Schizosaccharomyces pombe: one gene and its partner. The protein of the gene in region 2 binds, or shares a complex with, the protein of the main gene of each other region. Each region holds a gene or a part of one and is shown on either strand. Other genes may lie near its edges.

The links.
Region 1: cut14 (region 2) and cnd2 share a complex: the UniProt entries of both Schizosaccharomyces pombe proteins name them as parts of the condensin complex.

Annotation. Positions count from the first base shown.
Region 1 is NC_003421.2:407,745-414,447, forward strand, and holds cnd2 (condensin complex non-SMC subunit Cnd2), read right to left. Parts: upstream 4,348-6,703; 5' UTR 4,324-4,347; coding exon 2,095-4,323; 3' UTR 1,610-2,094; downstream 1-1,609. Other genes in the region: yip3 (Rab GTPase-binding protein), read right to left, coding at 500-949, 1,014-1,079; histone H3-K4 methyltransferase Set1, read right to left, coding at 5,021-6,703. UniProt on the Schizosaccharomyces pombe protein: Regulatory subunit of the condensin complex, a complex required for conversion of interphase chromatin into mitotic-like condense chromosomes.
Region 2 is NC_003423.3:2,876,265-2,883,974, forward strand, and holds cut14 (condensin complex SMC subunit Smc2), read right to left. Parts: upstream 5,105-7,710; coding exon 1,586-5,104; 3' UTR 1,423-1,585; downstream 1-1,422. Other genes in the region: S-adenosylmethionine decarboxylase proenzyme Spe2, read right to left, coding at 1-1,105; SPOM_SPBP4H10.07 (ubiquitin-protein ligase E3), read left to right, coding at 5,541-7,292. UniProt on the Schizosaccharomyces pombe protein: Central component of the condensin complex, a complex required for conversion of interphase chromatin into mitotic-like condense chromosomes.

The DNA of each region.
Region 1 (6,703 bases), on a different chromosome or scaffold from region 2:
AAAGGTAGTAGACCTTTGACAAAGAAACGAGGAAAAACGTCTAGTACGCTAAGATAAAAGAATAAGAGAGGTGAAAATCATAGCTGGCTTCATATAAGCAGCCAAACTAGTTATTATAGTACTAGATGAAGCTGAATGCGCAGTTTAGAAGTCATTTTATCCCATAATTTCAAGAAAGTAAAGGCAAGATAAAGATAGCCAGATAGAGTCATTGAAAAAGACGACGAAAAGGCGTAAAACAAAGAGCGCAGAAATGAATAATCTAAAAAATTACAAATGAAGTATTAACGTATTAAAAGGAAAAAAGTATGAAACGCAAATAACTGATAATAAAATGATTAGCAAGCTAGTTTCTTTAAAATCGGCGTACAGTTTCCCTCTTTTTGTTTGTCAAAGAAGAGTAAGCGTAGGAAATGCCAGTATTCCCTTTGTAAAGACATGTACGAAAATTAAAGCAACTGTACCAAGATAACCAAAGAGGCTGTTAGAAACAATTTTTTTAGACTTGTTGCTCGACAGTCTCAAATGCCGATTCAACAGGAGGCTCAAAGAAAGCAGCGTGTCCGAATACACAGACACAGGAAGCACCAACTAACCAAATGATAGTTTCGATGGGAGATGCGAACAGCCCAAGAGGAATCAACACGCATGCTAGAATGACATAAAGATTTTGGTTGGAAATTACACGATGGCTAAGTTGTAAATCAGCTCCTTGAAGCTTACGAATACCATAAACACCACCAACACCAATTCCAATGACAATTAAAAGTAAAGGGTTACGGATAAGTGCGTAAATAACGAGCATAGCAATGATTGCAAGATAGTTAGAAGAAAACCTCGAAAAGTTGAAGCTAATTCTCGACTGAGCTTCACTGAAATTCCTAGGTCTAGAAATTCTACGAACATCCAAGAACTCGCCCACCGATTTAAAACCACTTAGATACTGAGCCTACCATTTTGCGTTAGTGAATTGATCTTTTCAAGTTTACTACTCATAGTTCATTAATTCATACCCTTGAAGCGTAAATTTCTGAGAAAGTCTCCGAAACTTTAGTAATACTCAACGACAGTGCTGACATTATGAAAAACCGTAGTAGGTGTCTTAGATATAGGGAAAGGATAAATTCTACTTTTCCTGGATGTTGACAAAGTATTCTAAGCCATTGATTGTTACCCACTGTAAAGTACATTGAGAAAGCAACGCTAAATAGATATTGTGCAACAGAAAAAATTGTAATAATTGTATTGCATAACTCATTTTATTTAAATTATGAATCACTATCGTATATAGCGTAATTTTGCTTTAAACGCTATTTCAAATCTATGGTAAAACTAGATGAACTAACGTTGCTGCGAAAGTTCATAGATTGCTTATAAACCTATTTCTTTAACTAAAAGGATGTATTTTAACTTTATTTTACTGAGCCAAAGTCCATTCGTTGACGGTGTTGAAATTATTCTACAGCTTGGTCATTGACAAATTTCATTTTCTCTGATAATTCATTTAATAATTTGTATCAAAAAAAAATAGATTCTTGAGAAAGATTAACATAAAAGATAAAATTACCCTACATTTCTGTACTCAAATCGATATGTTCTAACTTTGAAAGGGTTTCACAATATATGAATAACCGTATATTGGTACAATTTAATCCTATTATAGGTAAAAAACCTCACATAGAGACAATAAATAATTATTATTTTTTGTTATATTGTCGAGAATAGAAGCATGTAATGAATGCAATATCTCGTTATTTCCAAAGAGTCAACTGCTAAGTGAGTTCCAACAGAATTAACAGGCAGAAGCAAGATACTGATGTCTTCAACGATCACAAGATAAAAGGAAGGTGTATTTTTTACAAAAAATTTCGCTGTCAGCTTGCTCCACAAAATGCAATTTGCACTCTTCATTTTTCACAACTCTTCAATGTCAAAAAGTAGTAACAGCCTAAAAATACGAGCTAGTGTTTTTATTATTCAAGGTAGATCAAAAAGAGTATAATTTCCGGCTATCTTGAAAATGATTCACGCTAGCTAAAAGTATGCGATGATGACTAATTAATGATGACCTGCATCATTTCGATTCTACACACTTTAAACATCATTTTCTAATGCTTCTAGCGTCGTCAAGTTAGGACCTGGCCTAATAAAAACATCTGAAAAATCTTCGTTGCTTGTAAGCTCTAAATTATGTTCATTCGCCAAATGTAAAACACAAATAAAGGCAAAACTGGTGGATATATCTTTGAGTTCTTTTTTCTCGTATGTCTCCTCTAATTGATTGACAGTGGAAAAAAAAGATTTGACTGGCATGTTGGTTTCTTCTGACTCCATCTCCGAACCCTCAATATGAGAGTTGATGGAATTTTCTTTAATTGTGTTTTCAAGATCTAGACATTTCCATAGCTTTTCTTTCAGTACTCGCACATCAACCTTTTTAGCACGCTTCGCATAATTCAGCATATCTGGTTTTGCCAAACGAGCAGTTAACAAAAGGTTATCACCAAATCCTGATGATGATGGAGGTGTAAGCAGAGGTGTTTGCTTAGGGCTATCGGAATCTCCAAATCCATACGGGGGTATTCCTTCATCAACATTATCACTGCCATCAGAATCGAATCCATGGGGTTGAATACCGTCCAAATCATTCTCATCATCTAAGGCTTTATTCAGTTGTAGCTGTCCTTCTCCATCAGCGTTGGGTAGAACTGACATCTTTGGTTTCAAGAAAAGCTGTAAAAGCCTCTTAGAATCATATTGGTAGTCATCAGGTAGTAAACATCGATTATGTCTTTTCCAATGAGACTTGGGAAGCTTGAGACTGCTGGTTGCAGGAGTGAACAGTGCTTCGACGTCTACTTCCTGCAAGAAATCAATGGCGTTATCAAGTTCTCGACGCTTTTTCCGTTCCGTGGAAGAAAGAGAACGCGATACATTATCTGAACTTTCAGCCGTATTGGAAGAGTTGAATACAGTTGATGCGTTATTGATATTTTTTCTCAATGCCTGAATGCGCCAATGTTCGGGTCCAGCCCAGTTCTTTTTCATTGACTTGTCAAAATATTCGTATACTCCATTCGCAGCGGCAGTAGAAATAATAGAATAATTTTCATTCATAGTACTTCCATCAGCCATATTGACTTCAGTATCCACACCAAAATCTGGATTTTCGGATTCGTCCATTGCTTTTGGTACTACATCAACATATGGGTTCTCCTCATCGTAAGCCATTTCCTCCAAAGCATGCACAATATGTCCTTCTTCACCATCGGAATCGGAAGAAAGGGAAGCTGCATCAGCATCAGTTTTCTCCATCGTATTATCCACTAAGGAGGTTGTCGTTATCATGTTAACTTCATCACTTAATGATTTTAAGAGAGAGACATCAAGATTCCCTTTACTATCAAATTCAAAGCCCTGTAAGGAGGGACATATTGTCAACTGATCAATATCGGTAAAATAGCATTTGTAAATACCATTCAAGGTCTCCCTAGAAATATTGTCATGCACATTAGTCATTTCTGTGTCATGGCTTTCGATAGGCGCTGCGACTACCGCTTCCTGCGATTCAGCTTCAACATCTTTATTTTCCAAATCCTTGATGACAGTATCGCTAGAATCGAATACAATTCGTCCATGTTGATCAACACAAAGATGATTCATTAATAAGCCTTTAGCACCATCCTCATCAAAATCTGCACACATTTTCTTGAATAAAGGATCAAAAGAACATTCTAACTCAAATTTTTTAGCGCGTATTGACTCGAAATCTTTAACGAGAGTCTTTACCGAACGTTGTGCACGCTTTCTCTCTTTCTTTTTCTGTAGATCCTCATCATCATTTTCAGCATCTTCGCCTTCTTCCGTTTGCTGCAATACTTTGGAATCGTTTGCCAATCCACTGAGTAGCTTGCCGGTCTCAGTAGCAACAGAATCAATACGCGAAGTATAAATTTTCACGCATCCGTCTAATGTACAGCTTGCCTTTTGGAAATTTATATCTTCACCATCACGTAGAAGCGACATGTCGTGAAAATAGTCAATAAGCGCAAAATTCCAGGTATTTGTGGAATTAATTTTGTTGTCAGTAGCTAATTTAATCCATTCCTCAAAATTAGAAAGAACAGGAACCTGATGAGAGCTATTAAATGGTGAAGAATTGTTTAGAGATTCTCTTCTTGGCGTTATTGAGTGCAGAGCTGAACTTCTTCGCAACTCGCGCTGCTTACGGCTGTTCTCTTTAGCTCTTTTTTTTTCTAATGCATCGTCATTTAAGGAGGGTAAGCTAACGGGCGCATGCCCGCCTAAACTAGCTCTTTTCATTGATTTAAGTAAATGTTTATGTTCACAAGTGGTAAGTCGGTGTGCCTATACGTATATCGCGCTTTAACGATATGCCGTATATTTCTTTCTAATCAACAAATGATAAAGATTCAAATAAGTTTCTAAATAAATGCCAATATGATAACATTATTTTTCTTTTGAAATTTGTTTTCAAATAATATAGTATTTCCCAATTTACTTCATTGATGGCTTCCCGATTACAAAGTCAAAAGTCTTTTGTTTATTATTCTGTTACAAATTTTGTGAAGTTTCAATTATTATAAATCTTCCATATAAAATTAACAAGGTAATACCAAATCAAGTTTGGATCCTAAAATTCAGTAGCTATCAAGTTTTAAGAGAATTTTATTTTTCGTTTTCGTTTATTTAAACTTGAACTTCGTAGTATTGTGGAGCAAATGGATATATCTAAGACAGTATATCTCTTAACATTTTACTTCTAAATCACTCCTGAATGCAATCCACTGAATGGTATGCGCATTTATCCTGACTCTCAAAATATTCAACCAATATCAAATGCAGACGATGTAAGACAGAAAATTGATTCTATTCTATATTAAAAAATAAAAAGCATTAGTGTACCATCAGATATAATGCGTGCTTTTTAAACGAACTATTATAATTGTACAGCTGCCCATATATTCATGTACCATCAATTCTCCAAGAGCATCATTGTCTAGTTTAAATAGCCACGACATGTTGGAGCACCACACAAACAAGGAATCTTATCAGCTTCTTCCGGAAACTTGTAATCATAAGTAAGTTCCTCTCCATGCATAATATCCCTGTCAGCATAAATTACGATTTTTCTTTTCCCTTCAACTCTAATAATCCTAGCTATACAATTAGGAGCGCATGAATGATTGATGAAACGCGCGATATTTCCCTTTTTTGTAGCATCAACGATAACATCCTCGTCAATACGGAACAAATAACTGTCTCCAATACCTTCACGAACGTAGTTCTTTTCACGATTATCAGCCACCCGTTGTCGAATGATTTCTCCAATATACTCTATGACCATATCATTTTTATCAATGTTTTCCATGGCAAAAAGCCCTAATGTATGAATGCGACTAGGGCCAAAATGTAATTGCTTTTTACGAGCCTTTAGTGCATTGAATCTGAGCAAGTCAGCTTCGGCTGGCAATTGAGACTTTTCAACTCCAGCAGCCAATCTTCTATTGTTAACACGATTCATTCGTGATGTGATACGGCTTGTAGAATGACTAATAGTATCGATGGTTGATCGATTACGAAGTGGTAGATATAGTGATTTTTCGGTAGTTGGAATAATATAGTATCCCTCACTTTTAGCAGAACCGCTAGTATTAGAGCGAAAATAACCTTTAGGTTCTGGAAGAATAGCCGTATCTCCATACTTAACATCCCCATTCTTAAATTTACATGACTTGCGTTCATAAGCCCAGAAATTGGGATCGTTGATATCCATGAGGGGTTCATCCTTGAGTGCCTCTTGAAGATATGAGTAATCTTCGTCATTTTTTACCAAGTACTGTAGACCATCCAAGTCAAGAAGTACATCGTCTTCTGGATAATTGTAAGGAAGTGCACCATAATAAACGCTTCCAGTTTCATCAAACTCATTAATACGCCATTTGGGAGCTAAAGCTAAAACTTCATCAATCTCTTTCTTAGGCGATATGAGTTCATCTTTTATGGCGCTACCTGATTTTGGAATCGCAGCACTAGGAGAAAGTATTGATGCATCTGATTCGGTTTCGCTGGACGAAGTATAGTCAACTTCCATCTTTTCATATTTTTTCTTTGATATTTTAGATTTTGTACGAAAACGATGGAATTTGTCATTTTCATCAGATGTATCAGAAAAAACTGGAGTCGCCTCGTCAGACTTCACAGACTTTATTGAGCCAATCTTCCCTCTTTCTACACGCTCGTCTCCAGAAGATAACAAAAGTTCTTGATCAGACTCGGCTTCAGAAGCGCTTGAGTTATACATTTGATTAAGCTGGTAGTGTAAAGGTCGAGCTTCGTGCCTTCTTCTACGTCTTCTTTGAAGTTTCGACTTCGTTTTACTACCCGCTGAAAGATTCATTTTACTGGAATCAACTCGTTTTTTAAATTTGGGAAGACTGGGGAGCTTTCCGACTGTTGATTCAATTTTTAAAGGAACATCAGGAACACTTGTAGATGAAACCAATAAATTTTCTTGTAGTTCTTCCTTAACAGAAGGCTTAGGCATTGAATGAAGATATTTGAAGATTGCCGGTCCAATTATTTTACTTTTTACATCACGTAACAAAGCAGCCTCAAGATCTCTAAGCACAACTGAGGTTGCTTCAGCGTACGCTTCCTCGGGAGGTAAAACAACTCTTCG
Region 2 (7,710 bases):
CATATCCAGGAAAGTCATACACTATAAATTCTTCACGCTTATAAGAGCTAAAAGATTTAAGTTTGGCCGAGAAATGCTTCTCTTGAGACGCACCTTTAGCCTGGAAAAGGGTAAGACAAAATTTGTTTGCACCAAAAGTTTTAACAGTTTTTTCGATTGTTTCAGATATGGATCTTCCGAATTGGAATTGCGAAACATTTGTTTCAAATGAAGCATAAGAACAATGTTCTTGAGGCGTAACATGGATTGTGGCATAGCGGTCCTTGTAAATCATATTCGACGAGAACCCAATTGGCTCAAATTGAAAAGCATCAAGCACTGCTTTTTTATCAGAGGTACTACATAAGTCTCTAACACCCGATTCATCAGCTACATAACTGCCAAGGATGTGACCCCCCGAGAGATTGTTTTTTTCTCGAACATAGTCATCACCTCTAGCGCTCCGAACAACATCCAAGGATGGAGCGTAAAACTGAAGCGAGCGTTCGGGAGACATATCAGTCATGAGTACCTCTAGGGTCTCATCTTCAGGATCAAGGGAATCTTCCAGTAAAGAATAATCATCAGCCAGATCAGAAAACAGATGCCAGTGATTCTTGTTTGTCGGACCCACTACATAAGAGCATCCACTTGGAAAAAACAGTTGTAAGTAACGAACTTCTTCCTCCCAACTCGTATGTGGTGCAAGCTGGCGTTCGGGATATAAAAAGTTTTTTCTTGAGTAAAAAATACGAAGAGGACGATCAAAGCCAACACTAGAAGCAATTTCTAATAGGCGAGGCAAACTAGCCAGTAGTGTAGTGGTTCCGCATGTTTTAAGGATAATTTTATGGGCAAACACAAACATAGAGGATTCAGAAAGTAAATATGCATCTATTTCTTCACTATTAACAACGCTGAGGACTTTACATTGGGCTTGGGCTAGCATATCATCCCAATCATTGCGAGAAACAGCTTTTAGTCCCAAGTTAGCCTTTTCACCCGCACTTAAATTGGTTTTTATAGGAGCCGAAAACCATAGTTCCAGCAATTTTTCAGGACCTTCAAATGAGGAGGTGTTAAATTCTTCCGAATTCTCTTGATCAACAACAAGGGTAGGAGACATTTTAGAATATAGTCATACAAAGAACTTCCAATGCTATATGTGCGCTGTGAGTGTAATTCCCAAAACACGTACTAGCTAGTTGCTCCAGTTACACTTTTAGGATATTTATTAGCAAAAAAGCATACAAATAATAACTTAATTGCGGCTGTCGCACCAATTTTATATGATGTTGAGGCTAAATACATAACCACAGAAACATCCTGTATCGATCAAAATTTTAAAACCCTACCCTAAATATTTTTGAATATGCTACAAATGACATCGACGCTAATAATAAATTTGGAAATGATGAGTTTACGATATTTTATACATATGATACATACCGTAGTCTAAGTTTCATTAGCGGCACAAACAACTTTAAAGAACCAAAAGTCTTGTTTTTAATGATTGGTAGAAATATTCTTTAAATAAATTAAGACATCGGTGATAGTAAATAGTAGGACTATACATGCGCGTATAATTCAAGTGTTTACGTTCAAATTAGCGAGCTTGTACCACAGATGATCCGTCCATAAATCGTACATGAAATAGTCGATTAGCATTGGTAAACATTCCTTCTTTAAGGCTAACAATAATAAACTGAGAACCTTTAAACTTTGTTTTAATAAGTCTTCCAATGTTTTGGGTATGACTTAAATCGAGCGCCGCGTCAATTTCATCTAAAATGTACATTGGAGCAGGCTTATATTTAAGTAGAGACATAATAAGAGCCAATGCAACTAGAGACCTTTGTCCACCACTAAGTTCTGCCAGACTATCTTTCCAAATTGACCCAATTTTTACATGAATTTCCAATCCATCAGTGAATTCTTTATTCTCTGGTGGCTGTAGTTCTGCACTATTACCAGGAAGTAGTTCGTCAAAAATTTCACCGAAAGAAGAATTGACTTCTCTCCAGGTTTTTTCTAAGGCACTCCTTTTAAACCGATCAATACTTTTGACAGTATCTTGGATCTTTTTCTTATCGCGATGAATGGTCTTTATCATAGAGCGCAATTTGGCTTCTTTCTTTTCTACACCGTCAATCATGTCCATAACCTTGGGATTAATAGCTTTACGCATACTAGCAAATCGCGGTTTCAAATTATGTAACTGCTCTCTACACTGACGCATGTTTTGAGAGTGAAAATCGAAAATGGTTCCTTGCTTACCAAAGTGCTGTTTCTGTCCATCTATCCAATCATTTTCCTTTTCCAAATGATTAATAGCAGTTATAGCAACTGATTTTTCTCGCTCTAATCGGTCAAACTCGTGGTTCAGCTTTTGAATTGTTAGCTCCCCATTGTTTATTTCAGATTCGAATGTTTTCATTGAGGTACTGAGTGAATCTATCTCTTTGTTAAGTCCAGAAAACTTGGCGCTTTCAATTTCTATTAGTTCGGTGAGTTTCTTTCGATTATGCTCCTCATTAACAAGTGACAGCTCAAGTTCTGCAATTTCCGTCTTTATTAAACTCGTGGTCGATTCACCTTGTACGAGAGATTGCTGATGGTTTTGCAATTCGCCTTCTAATTGTTCACATTCGAGTTTAACGCCATTATAGTCATTCTCGGACTTTTCCAATATAGGAGTAAACTCGTCTAACTTGTGCTTGTATTGATTAAACTCCTTTTCCAATTCAGCCATTTTTGATCCCTTGTTATGTTTCCATTCTTGCATGTCTCGTTCAATTTTTTTTATAGCTTGGTCACTTTGCAATATAAGTCTGTCTAATTCAGGAAGCCTTTGCTTGAGATCTTTAACGTCGTCTTTGTACTGCTGATAATCAGATAAAAGACGAAAAGATGAGTCGGTCTCTCTTTGCTCTATCAAAAGTGTTAATTCATGTTGCTTTAGTTGAATTTCTTGCTCAAGTCGATGAAAATTGGCATTTTGAGTCTTTAAGTCTTTAAGTTGAGTCTCCAACTTTTCATATTCTGAAGTAACTACTTGCAATTTTAGCTGCAGACTGTTCAGCTTTTGTATCTGTAGTAAAGGACCGGCAGATTTATTCACAGACCCACCAGTAAGGGTACCAGATGGGTCATAAACATCACCATCAAGCGTGACACTTTTTAATTTAACTGAAGGATGAAAGGTAACTTTCTTTGCCGATTCAGGGGTATCACAGACTAATGTGGAGCCAAAAACATACTGCATTGCAGGCAAAAGCTCATCGTCATAACCGATTAATTCCAAAGCAAGTTGGGCTTTATTATTAGAAATTTTTTTGGCTGCGCCTACTCTCTCTGCTGAAGCTACGAAGCTGGTAATTTTGTTGAGGGGAATAATAGTAACTCTCCTCTTCAGGTTTCCTTTTTGAAGCAATTGTGCACCAATTTTCTCGGTTTCAACAATGAGATTATAAAGGCGGCCACCAGCTGTAATTTCTAATGCAGTTTGCTTGTCATAATTCTCTTCATTCAAGGTTAGCAATTGAGCCACCAATCCTTTCACCTTTGAGCGATCAAAATTAGGAGTAGGGTCGGTATAAGTAAATTCCATATAAGCAAGTTTGCTTTTTAAAGCATCAAGTTCATTTAACAAATTGCCGCGATCTTTAGCAAGTTGCTTCAACTTTTGCTGGAGTACATCTTCACCTGTAATGTCGGAATTTGTATTTTTTAAAGACATTTTAAGCTTCTCAACATGGTTTTGTAATATATCGATTTCGCGATTGAGTTGATCACATCGTTTTGTAGCCTCAGCCTTCTTAGGTTTAGTTAAAGATATTTGTTTATTGAGTCCTTCAAGCTTTAATCGATTGGTTTCTTTTTCAGCTTTAAAGTCATTCAACGTATCTCGAGCTTCGTGTAGTTTTCTAGAATAGCCAGTTTCATGACCTTCTGTAGTGGAAAGACCAGTTGTAAGTGATGAAATTAGCTCTTCTTGAGACTTGAAATCCTTTGAAATACTTTGATGTTCATCTTTCCTTTTTTCGTATACACTAAGCACTTCATCTAGTCGTTTCCTTTTTCCGCGCAACAAAGTTTCTAATTCCTTAGCTTTTCCACGAATTTGTTGAAGGTCCCCATGCTCTTCCTCTAAAGCTGTATTCTTTAATTCTATCGACGTGCTTATTCTGGTGATGTTTTCATTAACAGTTTGTAACTGAGAGTCCAAGGTACGATCCGAAGAAACACTCATTTGTCTCATTCGCTCATCTTCAATTTTTTTAATCTTTTCCTTTAGTATTAAAACCTCCTGTTTCGATGTTTGTAATGAAGATTCCATCTCGGCGATATGGCTGTGCTTCTGGGATGCTTGAACCGTTAATTCCTCCACTTTAAGTGACAACTTATAATAGTCGTAAGCAGTACAAAGATGGCTTAATCGTTCCAAGTCATTATAAATATGTTGATATTCTAGAAAAGTTTTTTTTTCTGTACGAAGTTTGGTAAGTCGGGGTTCGATTTCCTCTCTTAACAGTGTATTAATCTCCTCAACCTTTGCTTCTTTTCGTTGCATTGTTCGAAAAGCCTTTTCTTTCCTTTCTTCAAACATTCGAGTACCAGAGGCTTCTTCAATCATTGATAAAATTTCAGTAGCCTTCATATTAAGAACCTTGGTGATTCGACCTTGCATAATTAAAAAATTAGGATTATTAATATTTAACTGAACAGACTGGAACAAATTTTGAACATTCTGTTGCAGAGCTCTATGTCCATTAATCAAATATTTGCTTGTACCGCCCATGATAATTTGTCTTGTAACGCTTACTTGCGGGTGATTCTCGAAACCAATTGGTGAAGACGCAGGATCCCGATTATTAAACACAATGGTAACGCTAGCTCTGGTTATTCCTGCCTGTCCGCGTTTGTAAATTAAGTCCTGTAAATTCTGGGCACGGACAGTCGACATATTCGTAATTCCCAAGACAAAGCATATTGCATCTAATATATTACTTTTTCCAGACCCATTGAGGCCCGTTATAGCATTAAATTGGTCATCCCAATTGCTAATGACAGTTCGCACAGCATATGATTTGAAACCATCAATGATGAGTTCCTCTATTTTCATTTCTTCAGTAAATTTCTCGTTCTGTTTGTTTACTGAAGCCCAAGTATTTAAGACTAGAATTCAAAAAACTGATTGACTTGTAAAGTATTTCCTAGAGGGAGATAAATCTTCAGCAGTACATTTCAGTCCGAACTGTTTGCTGTTTAGTGTAAAAATGATTAAAGCTGTTTGTCGTTTAAAGCATTAAAGGTGAAATAAGACTTCATAGTAGATATAAAAGAGTGCGACTACTCTAATAACATTTACCGCAACGTTAAACTACGTAATGATGCTTAGTATGCAAAAAGCTTACCGCTATTAACATTTTAGATTTATTAGTTTATGTATTTTAATACTTTCAAGTAACTTGTTTAAATTCTTTTTAATTTAAAACATATATTTTATCTTTTCTGTTATTTAACTATATTTGATAATCAGTACTGCACTCACTACACAAATGGGGCAAGGTGAATCCATTCCCAGTCGGCAAATTCAAAGGGACGCAAGTATGCAGGCGGTTTCATCAGAAAGTGAAAACATTAATGATTCAGATCGACAAAATTCTGGCTTTAGTAGGCTGTGGAATCGTTTTCCCTCTTTGCAGCGAGTCTTAGGTCTTCGAAGAGCAAAGCGGCATCGTAACGATGAAGGCAATTCGGAAAATGGTAATCGTGATAGAACTACTGAAAGATCGGCTTTTCGTTCTCGCTACCGTGGTTCGCTTTTGAATAGGAATTCTCCTTCTCTAAGGTCGTTAAGTCCACCAGCTACACCAGCTACTCCTCGCTCTCGTATAGAAGGCGAATCACAAACATCTGCAATACCTCAAACAGACAGGTTAATCCTTGAAAATCACCAACAGGAATTTGAACGTGCTGCTAGAAGATTTCGTTCTAGTATTGCTGCTTTACGCAATTTAAATACCCAAAACAATCAGTCTACGTTGGCATCGAATCATGAAGATGAAAACGTCAGTTCGAGCGGTGGACAGGAAATGCAGGATCATGGCTCTGTAAATAATTTAGAATCTCCGGGAACTGCAATTGGAAGATTGCCGGTAAGATCTGTCACTTCTCTAGCGGACTCAAATATGGAGGACTATACTCGTGCGGTAATGAACTATATTAATAATAGTGAAAATACTCAACAAGCATCTGTTTCTCCAGAAGAAAGTCAACTAGTCATGCTTTCTCGATTTGTGTTTTCAGTAGCGTCTGGTTGGGTTAGTGTACTGATGAATTCTTCGAGTGCACATCAATCAAACAATTTAGAATTTCCTTCTTCAATTTCTGGAAATGTGGAATCTGGAAATGTTGCTTTCGATGAATTTTTATCGCTTTTGCACGCTGGTAATCTGGTGCAGGCGATGAACGCAGAAACTAATCCTAGGACTGCAGAACTAATTGCAAATGCTGTGGATCTTGAAGAAGAATCTGGTCCTATAAACCTTTTTCGAACTTTTAGATTTGACAATTTACACCGAAATCATGAAGGTCAAGAAGTAATCCCGATTATAATAGTTGGCATCCGAAGTCTAAGAAATTCAGGAAGTGATGAAGATGATCAACCAAGTGCCGATTCCCCAACTTTAATGCATCCTTCTGATTTGATATCTTCACTTGTTAACTCGCAAAATCAGACAACGTCCGTTAGTGATAATACGGGGCCAAATGAAAATGTTAATGAGGCAGAACATATTTCCGAAGACGAGCAAGCTTCTACTGCTACAGACGTAAATGGGATTTCCGATAATAATGGATCCTCCACTCAACAAGCACCTGAAACTAGAAATAATAATTCGCAAACGGACCACCAATTGCCCAGAAGCTGGGCCATATACGTTCGAGAAGCTTTTGTACCTCAAAATCATCCTGTTTTGAGAGCACCTTCACTGTTTACTGATTCACCAACGTACGAGGACATGCTTTTATTGAATTCTATTATCGGTATTGAAAAGCCGCCAGTGGCTTCACAAAAAGACCTTGAAAAGGCAGGTGGTGTATTCCCTTTTTCGGGAACCGATGAAAGATGCCTTGTTTGTCTATCAAATTTTGAGTTGAACGATGAGTGTCGCCGTCTTAAACAATGCAATCATTTTTTTCATCGTGAATGCATAGATCAGTGGTTAACTTCAAGCCAAAATTCATGCCCCCTGTGTCGTACTAAAGGTGTTGCTTCAGCATCTACTCCGTCCTCTCCCAAGCCATAATCAACATGATCAATCATCATGACAATTTTGTTGCTTTAAAAACTTTTCGGATTCCTTCCACCAAAACGATTTTGAATGTATTTACCCATATATTTTATTAATGTTCCTTGTTTCCTTTTAGCTATGAGAATTTAAAAGGGCATGTCACAACCCTTCCTCTCGACCTGACGATCCTTAAAGCATAGCTTATAAAGCCAAAACGGGCTTGTTTCCTTTTCTGTTTTCCATTATTTTTGTTTGTTTATATGATGAATTTTCTATGGTAAGGTAGACTCCATTGATGGACTGATCATCTTGCTATTTTCAACACCCAGTCTCGGAAAATGGTTTCTACAATGAGGCCTATTTAATATTCCTTGGATTATTTATATCCTATATTGATCAGTTTTTCACTTTGTATAATTTTATATCTGATTTT